Sus scrofa: one gene and its partner. The protein of the gene in region 1 interacts with the protein of each later gene in a pairwise test. Links are inferred from orthologs where the notes say so. Each region holds a gene or a part of one and is shown on either strand. Other genes may lie near its edges.

Region 1 (5,242 bases):
TTGTCAGGCAGTGAGTCCCTCATCAGAAGGGGTATCCAGTCCTGCAGGTGGGATTGGCCTAGACTGAGCCAGTAAGGGGCAGTTTCCAGGTCACCATCCTGAACCTTGGGCAAACAATCCTTATGGAATGGACCAAAGTGAGCCTCATAAACCTTCCTAATGGGATTTTGCTGTGGAATCCGCCCCCCCCCCAAAAAAAAAAACTCTACTGGCGCTCTGGTAAGCTAGGAAGAGGGGTGCACTGTTATAATCACCATTATAACAATTGTTCCAGGCTGTTGCTTAACTATTGTTGATACTGTGTCTGTTACCAAGTCTCTATGCATTGGCTTTTACAAACCAACCTGTGATGAGGTAGACGAGGAAGCCGCAGTGTTGTCCACTCTGGGCTGAGCCTGGAGAGATCTTCCATCCTAGAGCCAAAGGATAAGGGCCAGGATTTCAGGGCCACCCACCTACAGCCCTGGTCCATTTGTTTAAGGTGACGGCTGAGTGGTAATGAATGCAAACAGGGTTGGTGGGTGTCTGGGTGCAAGGGCTCCTTAACCATCTGTAGCTCCAGTCTTAGCTTTGCTCTTCAGTTCCAGCTAGCACAGGACATCTCGCTGGCTCACCTTGTTCTCACCAGCACTCTCACGTCTTCCCCTTTACACATTTTCCTCCTCAGGCCATGGCCTCTGATTCAAGAGATGCCTGAGGGGAATGGTTAAGGCCACCTGTTCTAGAGCCCAAATGCCTGGGTGTAGCTCAGGCTCCACCACTTACCAGCCATCTCACTTGAGCTAATTAACCTTCAGAACCTCAGTTTTACTCTGTAAAATGATGACAATGATGGTGTAAATGAAATGCAAAGAGCTCTTTGTATTAAGCTAATCAAGAGAGAAATGGACAAAACACTGTAAATCAACTATAATGGAAAAAATAAACTTAAAAAAACCCCTAATCAACAGAAGTTCCTGTTCTGGTTTAGCAGGTTAAGAATCCCCCTAGTATCCATCCGTGAGGATACAGGTTCAATCCCTGGCCTCGCTGGGTTTAAGGATGCTGCATCGCCACAAGCGCTTGGATCTGGTGTTGCTGTGGCTGTGGTGTAGGCTGGCAGCAACAGCTCCAATTCCACCCCTAGCCTGGGAACTTCCATATGCCTCAGGTGTGGCCCTAAAGAAAAAGAAAAAAAAAAAGAAAAAATTAATCAACAAAAATCTGTGCGTGCCTACTTTGTGTTAGGAACAGGGCTCGATGCTGAGAGCGTGGATCTTTTTTCAAATTGTGGTGAAATATATATAACATAAAATTTACCATTTTAACCATGTTTAAGCATACAGTTCAGGGATATTAAGTATATTCATATTGTTGTGCAACCATCCCCACCATCCCCCTCCTGAACCTTTTCATCTTGCAAAACTGAAACTCCGTGCTTATTAAACACTAACTCCCTATTTCCCCTCTCCCAAGCTCCTGGCAAAGAACCATCCTATTTGTTTCTATGAATTTGACACCAGTACTTTATGTAAGTGGAATCACACAATATTTGTCCTTTGTGTCTTTTTTTTTTTTTACTTAATATCTTGTCTTCGAGGTTCATCCATGTTGTATGTGTTGGAATTGTCCTCCTTTTTAAGGCTGAGTGATATTCCATTGTATGTCCATATCGCAGTTAACCCATTCATCCCTCAGTGGACACTGGGTTGCTTCCACCTTTTGGCTACTGTGAATGATGCTTCCAGACCTTGGGCTCTCAAACCTGAGCCTCAGATGTGACTTGGACGGTGGAGTGAATACAGCCAAAGCCCTGCTGCAGTTGGCTCAGCATCTCCTCAGGCCCATGCTCCATCAGAAGCTTCACTCTCATCTCCCCAGAGCCATGCCCTCTCTTTAGATGGCTCACTTTGTAGCTGCCCTATCTTTGAGACATTGTGGACACTAGCCACTGCCAGCAGGTTTCCTGTCCCAGGCATTTCTGGGACCCCACAGAGCTTTAGCCAAGGATGTGCTAATTCGGTCTGGGGTCCTCATTCAGCTAATACCAACCATCTCTACTTCTGTGTTGGGCTAGGAGGGACAGTGGGAGATATCTTCCGCCTAGTTCAAGTCAGAAGCACTTTGTTCACTGCCCCATTGCCCTACGGAGGGAGCAAGGAAGATTTTTCCAAGACTCGAGTTTTGCTTCCGTTGGCACCAGGCAGCAGTGACTCCAGGCTGTCCTGCCTGAGCCCCTCCAGGTGGGAAACCTACTTCTGCAGCCCAGGTCGCTGAGCCTGGGGAGTAAGAAGAGCACACTACAACTCCCAGAGTTCCTCAGGCTCGGGGGGCGGCCCCCTACCCCTCGGGGGAGAATCGGACCCGCCAACCGGAGCCCACAGTGGGACAGGGGCGGGGCCAGGCAGGGCTGGGCGGGGCGGGGCCACGGGGAGGCGGCTGGCGATCCGTGCCTCCAGCCAGTTGCGCGCAGAGCGCAGAGTAGGGACGTCGGTCTGTGCGGAGGGTCTCGGCAGGCGCCGCGGCACCTCGCTGGGCCATGGGTGAGTGTCTCTGCGGCCCGGGACGGGGGTGGCGGCCCCGCGGGATGGGGAGGTTGCTGTGCCAGGTCAGCCCCGGTGCTCGTAGTCGTAGGTGCTGCCTTGGGGGGCGGAACCCGGCGGAGGAAGGACTCGGGGGGCGAGGGCGTGGGGACCTAGCCTGGCCTGGGGCACCCGCGCCCTCTGCCCGGCGCGGGAGGGTGAGGCCGGGTGTCGGCGCGTGCTCTTCGAAAAAAGGAAAGACAAAAAGTTTTGGCGGCCTGGGGCTTCCCGGGCGTTTATCTCGAAACTCTTCTCGTCGTCTCTTGACTGAAATTTACCAAGTCCTGTACGGTTCTGTCATCCCACTTCCTGCTGTGGTTTCAATCTCGAGCTGGTCTCAGCTAATTTGTTGTGACAGCTGTCCGCAGCAGTTCTCTGCCTGCAGCACCCCCCCGCCGCCCTCCCACCCCCTCCCCCGTCACATCCCGGCGGTTCTCAGAACCCGCCGGCGCCGCCGAGAAGAGGCACCCGGGTCCTTTGGGCGCGCGGGGCGCTTTCCACTGGCGGCCGCTGTTTCCTGAAAGTGACTCTGCGCGGATTTTGAAGAACTTGCTCAATGCATTTTGAAGAATCAACTGTTCCTCTTTCAGCCGATCCTTCGGCGGTTACCCGCTCCTCGCCCCCTACCCTTTCTCTTTTCTCTTCCTTTTTTTTTTCTTTTCTTCTCTAGTCTCTCTTCTTGTCTCCGGTCCACCCTCCTCTGCCCCCCACCTCCGGCAGAAAAGAAGTAGCTTCACTCTTTGTTCCTCTTTCCTTTATTTCTTTTCTATCCCCTCGGGTCTTCAGAAGGGACAGGGTGGCTCCCCGGGAGTGACGCTGGCGAAGAGCAGAGATGCGCGGTGCGGGCTGCGAGCGTCAGAGGAGAGGTGTTTGGCTTCGACCTCAGTCTGAGCCGTGGACCACAATCCGGCGGCTGCCTCACCAGGGTCCCTGCGCACAGTGTTCTGGGGGCGCGGCTGGGCCAGGTGCACGTCCTCCAGCCCCAGGGACGCTGGGGTAGGGGTGGGGATGGCCAGTGCTGCACTCGGGAGGGCTCAGGGTGTGGGTGTGGGGTCACAGGGCTGGTCAGACCCAGGTTCCCTTTGTTCGCGAGGTCGTCAGCTAGTGAGCAGGGGTCTTCGGGCTGAGGGGAGGATAAAAGGTGCTTCTTGCTTCATCCGGATCCTCATTGTTGGGGATGTGGGGTCTCTGTGGCCACAAGCCATGCTAGGGCAGAGGAAGGGTAAGAGATGGCAGCTAGTGGGTTGGGCCACCATCTGTACAAGCCCTGAGGAACATTCTCGGACCTAGGACTTGGAGTCCCGTAGAGCTAGGAAGGACCGCAGACAACCAGTGCTTCCTTCTTTGATTTAGAGTGTGAGAAGCAGCGGCTTAGACATTAGCCCTGCGGCAGTGAGAATGAATCTAGCTTCTAAGACCTTGCCCCCTCTCCCTTCCCTGTGGTCTCCTGTTTCCCAGGTGGGCCATGGCCTGGGATAACCCACCCTCCTTCTTGGACCTTGCTTTACTGGCTTGGAGAGCCACCCTGGGGGGCTGCAGGAAGGGAATGGACACACTGAGAAGCAAAGGAGTGCCTCCAGCTGAGGTCAGGCAGCCTTCCTCTGTCCTGCCTGTACCTCTACCATTGGGCCGTGTCTTGGACAAGCCACCACCAAGCTTTGTTTCTCCACAGGTTACTTTATGGGGACACAGGAAACAGTCCATAGATGGAGCTGTTACAGTTATCATCAGGTGTCACCCAGACTTGGAGAGGAGGGACAGTGGGGATTCAGCCTCATCCCCAAATAGGGTCATTAGGATATTCCCTAACTGGCTTAAAGAGAGACCAAATCTCAGCAGGGCTTGGGAGACAGTAGTCTCATTTGGTGCCCCCATGACCCCACTTTTCTAGACTCAAGGCTGTCATCTTGGCCCCAGCTGCTCCCAGACCCTGTCCCCACTTCCCCCCGGCTGAGACACTGAGGCAGGGCACAAGCTACACCCATGGCTTCCATGTCCAGGCCATCTGACTGTCCTCAGTGCTGGCTGGAGCACAGCCCTTGGCAGGTCCCCCCTCCCCAAACCTGGGCTCCCACCCTGGAGCAAGCTCCGCACAGATACTCGGCCAGGCAGCCTGGCTCCTGGGCCACAGAGTGGACTGGCCGCTTCAAAAGCTGTCTTTGTTTTAGCTCCAGCTTGAGCAAAGAGAAACTTAAGCCAACAACCTCAGGCGAGGAGGAGGTGTGGCCCTGTCTGCTGGTTGTTATTGAAGCTGCCTTTACCATTATTGTCGTAATTGACACAGTGCTCCCAGTGGGTGACTTTTCATGAAAGGAAGTGTTGCTTCCTTCCTATCACACTGAGGGTGAATGAGGCCTGGGGGGCGGGGGTGCAGGAGAGAGAGAGAGAGACAGAGAGAGAGAGAGAGACACCTTGAACTAGTCGAGGCCAAGCTCCTCTCAGCATCAGCAGTATCTGAGGTCAAGTAGCTCCTGCTGCATCCGTGAGGCTCAGTGAGGCTTGTGTTTATGGAGCACCTGCCCCAAGCATTGAGACACAGTGGGGAGTGAGCAGGACAGGCAGCCTCAGGTCTCACTGAGGGGTGTGGACATGCGTGCACACACACACTCAGCTGTGGTCTGTAGGGGGAGCCTCATTTCTTTGTTCTCCTTAGAACATTGGGCCCATGGGGTCTAACACAT
Region 2 (5,242 bases), on another chromosome or scaffold:
GAGGAAGCAGGGCTCTTTAAATTTACGTAGGAAGAAAAGAGATTGCTACTGAGAGTCCTGGCCTCTGGGTGTGGGGAAGAAGCTGCGTGTGGCGCCTCAGCCCAGTAGGGAGGAGGAGGCAAGAGCGGCGGAAAGTAGCAGGAAATGGCGAAAGCCTCAGGAATGTTTCCAGAAGGGAAGGCTGGGCAAGCGGGAAAGAGGAATGCCCAGACTAGAACTCTGGTTAGGGGGAAGGGAAGAGCCAGAGAAATGCTGCGGCCTGAGGAGGCCCTTAAAAAAAAAAAAAAAAAAAATCAAAGAGCAAAAAGGACACTGTTCCCTAACCCACTGCAAGCCACTTTCTGGTGATAGAAAATTTGCGCTTCTGTCACACCCACATGTCGCACATCAACAAATCCATGGCCCTACCCAGCTCCCGACGATGACCACGACGACGACGATGGACAGGTATGAGACAAACAGCTGTTTCTGGGGTGGAGTCGGTCCTGGGAAGGGAAACTCAGGGAGTGGGGTTGGGAGTCTATGAGCAAGTCTCCCTCCCGCTCTCGTGCCAAACCCCAAGTCCAGCCCCCTACAAGTAGGTCCACCCTTGTAAGGGGATAAGGACAAGGGCTGCCTCTAATCTCTTACTTCTCAGAACCAGAGATGTGAACTTTTGCCTTCCTACCCGGTGGAGCATGAGAGCTCAGGAAAATTGAGCTAGAGGCCCCAAAGAGAAAAAGAACAGGGAAATGTAAGCAGGTGACGTTCCAGGGGCTGAAGACAAAGCTCCCCAGGCGATGACCTGGGACCTACAGGGATAAAGATCTTGAGGGGGCGTGGTCCCTTAGGACGCGTGCATCAGAGATTTCCAGGAGGCCAGGCTTCTGGGCGATCAGACGTGGATTAGGGAAGGGGCGGAGCTTCTAGAGGGGCGGAAACCCTAGAGAGGAGTGGCTTCACGAATTCAAGCAGATCTTTGAGGGGCAGGGCTTTGCCCTTTGGGGAGATAGGCTTTTTGACAGACAGGAGTTAGCGGAGAATCGTCGCGAGGCGGGGTTTCGGGTAATTGGAAAGACTTAACGTTGGGTTTCTAGGAGTAAGGCTTGGAAGCATGTCTAGGGGTGGGACTTCCAGGAAAGCTGGGCGACGGGGTGGGGTCGGGGACAATAAACGGAAAATAAGTCGGGGTTCAGGGAGCCCCCTGAAGTTGGGAGGTGGGACTTCCGGGGAGGGGGTCGCAGGGGGCGGGACTTATAAATGAAGACCGGAAGTAGGGTCCCGGGAGAGGGGTTCCGGGGTGGAGGGGAGGTTCGCCTAAGGAGAAAAAAAAAGGTCCCAACTCACCAGGGCTTCATGGGGTCTCCGCACCGCACCGCGGGTCGATTTGGTTCCGGATCACGCCACTGCCTCCTTAGGTCGCCGCTCCAACTTTCTCCCCGGGCCCGGCCTCCCTGGAGAAACTTTATTGCACTCACTTCCGGCCTTACTAACCCCTGACCCTCTACCTCATCGTCCCTCCTTCACCCGTCCCACTTTCCCAAATCAGCCAATGATGCGCGAGAACGCTCACAGGGCAGTGATAGCCTATAAGAGGCCTATTTTTGCCCTACGTTTTTCTTTAGAAACTTAAGCAGTGCACTCCAATAAGGACCTGAAGAGAAGCAAATCTAAGCCAATCGAAGGCTTGGAAGTGGAGTTGTCCCGCCTTCCGCCAGGCGGACCAATAGGAAGCGCGGGCGGCGTGTTTGAAAGCGAGGCCAAAGAGGGTGGGAGCGCGTGCTGCTGGGAGTTGTTTGGAGGTTGGCGGTGCGGTGTTGACGGTCCTCTGGCAGAGCGATCATGTCGCACAAACAAATTTACTATTCGGACAAATACGACGACGAGGAGTTCGAGTACCGGTTAGTGCCGGCGCGGGGGCAGTATCGAGGTGGTGAGCTTTGACAAGTGTGGGCACGAGGAATTAGTAACAGGGACCGAAGGTATAGAGTCGGCGCATGCGCAAGAGGTTAACGGGAATGGGTGTGCGCTTTGAGCGTAAGGCGCATGCGCTAAGGGTAGGGGGTCGCTCAAAAAAGCCTAAAAGTGGTAGTGAATTTGTAGTAAGCTCTCCCGTGGGGAGGAGGCGTAGGTGGGCGTGGTTAGAGTGCTGACCATCCCCACTCTTGAGGGTTTCTGGATCATTCTCTCCAATTTGCTCAGCAGATTGAACTTGACTTCTTGAGACTGCTTGTATCACCGCAACACCACAGAGCCTCTGGGGTCGGGAGAAGCTCGAATTTTCCTCGCCTCTTCAAAGTGAGGGGAGTTCTGAGAGAGCCTGAGTGGTGTTCATTAATTCTTGGAAAAGGAGCGTGGTTGTCTGGCTTGTTTTATAGGAAGGGGGCTTTGAAGATCAGGAGTGGAATAAAACTGGCCAGAAGCATTGAGTAAAGACTTAATACGGACCTAATAGATGACCTTCAAATATTTGAAGGGCATCTACTTGGGAAACAGCTTATAGGTTTCAGATGTTGTGCTAAAGTGCAGGGATAAGCCATGGTGCCTGCTTTCACCAAAACTTTTTTAAGTCTGTGGAAATACTCAGAAGGTGGTACTTGGCATGATAGAACTTTGTACAGGCTGTGATGGGAGCAGTAGGACTTGCCAAGCACAGCGAAGAAAGTGAGTCGCTCCAGAGTTTGCATTTGATAAATCCTAACCATAATTCTAGATTAGAAAATTAGGGAAGAAAAGGAGTTCTGCAAATGTTGGCATTCCACCAATCTGTGTTAATTGTAATACTTAAAACACCTGGAAGCTTGGTTGTTTTGTATTTCTTCTGCAGCCTAGTGCAGGGCTCTGGGCCCTCTGGAGAACTTGGAGTGTGCCAACAAATACATAACTATATGTATGCCACATGGTTGGGAAAAGACCCCGAGCCCTGTTTGGACCTAATTAACTTTCTTTTCCTCACCTGTTTTCCTCTCCATCTAAAGGAGGCTAACTAAAATTAGGTGCTTATAATTTATAAGGGCTAGGGGAACATCACTAGTTTCCTCCCCTGGAATATGTAAGACTTGGCAGTGATACCTGGTTTAAGAGAAGAGGTTTTATTATGTGTTGCTTTTTTTATTTGTTTTTTGGGGCTATTGGGATTTTTTTTTGTCTAAATGGGTATGGAAGCCAGTCTTTACTCCAGGGACTTATTAGGATGTAAGCTATTTTCAAATATTTAGACTAGAATGGACTCTTTGGGGTTCCCGTTGTGGTTCAGCGGTCATGAACCTGACTAGTATCCATGAGGATGCAGGTTCAATCCCTGGCATCGCGCAGTGGGTTAAGGATCTGGCATTGCCATGAGCTGTGGTTTAGGTCCCAGACGCTGCTCTGATCCTGAGTTGCTGTGGATGTGGCAGCTTTCATAGGCCACAAGTGAGGCTCTAAAAAGAAAAAAAAAAAATGTCTCTTTGGAGAAAAAAAAAATCTGTTAGCACAGAGAGAGCATTCGGTACATTTTCATTGAACATGCTAAAGTCTGTCTGGGTCAGCCCAATCCAAATCAGAATAGTAACTTCTTTGCCATGAAAGGGACTTATGCTTGATTAGGAAAGCATGCAGTTTCCCAAAAGAAATCTCATGGCACATCCCTTCAGAGTTAGGAAAGTAAAATTAAAGGAGAAGACATTTACATTTCTGCCTTTGTGCTGGCTGCTTTTTTTTTTTTTTTTTTTTTTTTTTGGCTTTTTAGGGCTGCACTAGCAGCATATAGAGGTTCCCAGGCTAGGGGTTGAATCAGAGCTGTAGCCACCAGCCCACGCCGCAGCATCTGCTGCCTACACAACAGCTCACGGCAACACCAGATCCTTAACCCACAGAGCGAGGCCAGGCATTGAAACTGCGTCCTCATGGACACTAGTCAGAATCATTTTCCCTGAGCCACAGTGGAAACTCCTGTATTGGCTTTTCTATACAGTACTCCCTGATAGGCCTTTCCTGTCCATGAAATCATGTCCCTCCCTTCCTTACCAACCCTGTGCAAAACTGCCTTTAATTATTAACACTGTGTGTGTTGTGGGGCTCCCATTATATTGTTCTAGGGTAATCAACTAGAAGACTGTAATCTCCGAGAAGGCTGAGGCAGTGCCTGGAATTTAGGTGCTCCTTCACTGGTGTTATCCATTAATTTGTACTTTTTAATATCCTTTTGTAAGAATTTACGTAACGTGGCCTTTATTTTCTAGCTGCCTCTGCCCCACAGTGAGATTATACAAACTCCCTGCCATTAGGAACCGGTTTTTCTTTCCTTTCCTCTCTTGGTTGTAAATGCAGGCACTCGTCTGACAGTGTACCCGGTAATGAAACCAATTCCCCGCCTTCCCATGTTTCTGTTACAGGCACGTCATGTTGCCCAAGGACATAGCCAAGCTGGTCCCTAAAACCCATTTGATGTCTGAATCTGAATGGAGGAACCTTGGCGTTCAGCAGAGTCAGGGATGGGTCCACTATATGATCCATGAACCAGGTCAGTGCACTGGCAGAAAGCAATCATGTAGGCCTGTGGGAATAAAGGAATGATAAGATCACATGGCCCAGAGAAATAAGGGGAAGGTGGGGGTGGTTTACTGCGTTACCCCACCAGCTATCTAGAAAAACAGAAGTGACCAAAAATAAGAACGTATCTGGGAAGTTCAGACCCAACCTGTCACTGAAAAAAATCTTTAATCTAGTTCAGTCAGAGGGTGCTCTCTTTTTCAGGCCACATATACCCTGGTAGAAGTTATGGCCCCTGCTTCACTCTCCATCGGAAAGTGAATTTTTGGAAGTGTTCCAGATAAACCCAAGGAAAAGTACACTTCTTGATAAAACACCAGACACCAAACTGCCAGGCAAAACTAATAAAGGACACCCTGGGGCTGTACAAACATAGCAAGAGAAACGATGTTAATAATTTTGTACTTGGTACACAGGCCTGGCCTCTGGGTCTGCATCTTAGGTCACATGCTTAAGTCTTAATTTAGTTACAAAGATCTGAGTGGGTGATAGCTGGGAAGTAGGAGCAGATGACACTATAGGTTGTGCATAGGATCATATGAGCTTGTCTCTTAGATTTCACTCACTTTTTCAGAACCTCATATCTTGTTGTTCCGGCGGCCACTGCCCAAGAAGCCAAAGAAATGAAGCTGGGGAGCCATTTTTTTCAGCCTCAAGCTTTACGCAGCTGTCCTCACTTGCTAACGTTTTTCTGATGACATTATTGTGTTGCCTTCTTGTTTCTCACTTT

The links.
Region 2: the proteins of ARID5A (region 1) and CKS1B interact in binary tests that used the Homo sapiens proteins (3 or more experiments, as listed by UniProt). The two-hybrid records come from large-scale screens. The link is inferred for Sus scrofa from reciprocal best matches to the Homo sapiens genes ARID5A and CKS1B.

The regions. Positions count from the first base shown.
Region 1 is NC_010445.4:46,711,289-46,716,530, reverse strand, and holds the start of ARID5A (AT-rich interactive domain-containing protein 5A), read left to right. Parts: upstream 1-2,409; 5' UTR 2,410-2,518; coding exon 2,519-2,522; intron 2,523-5,242. UniProt on the Homo sapiens protein: DNA-binding protein that may regulate transcription and act as a repressor by binding to AT-rich stretches in the promoter region of target genes.
Region 2 is NC_010446.5:94,816,111-94,821,352, reverse strand, and holds the start of CKS1B (cyclin-dependent kinases regulatory subunit 1), read left to right. Parts: upstream 1-1,769; 5' UTR 1,770-1,821; coding exon 1,822-1,880; exon of another isoform or gene 1,881-3,127; intron 3,128-4,355; coding exon 4,356-4,483; intron 4,484-5,086; coding exon 5,087-5,139; 3' UTR 5,140-5,242.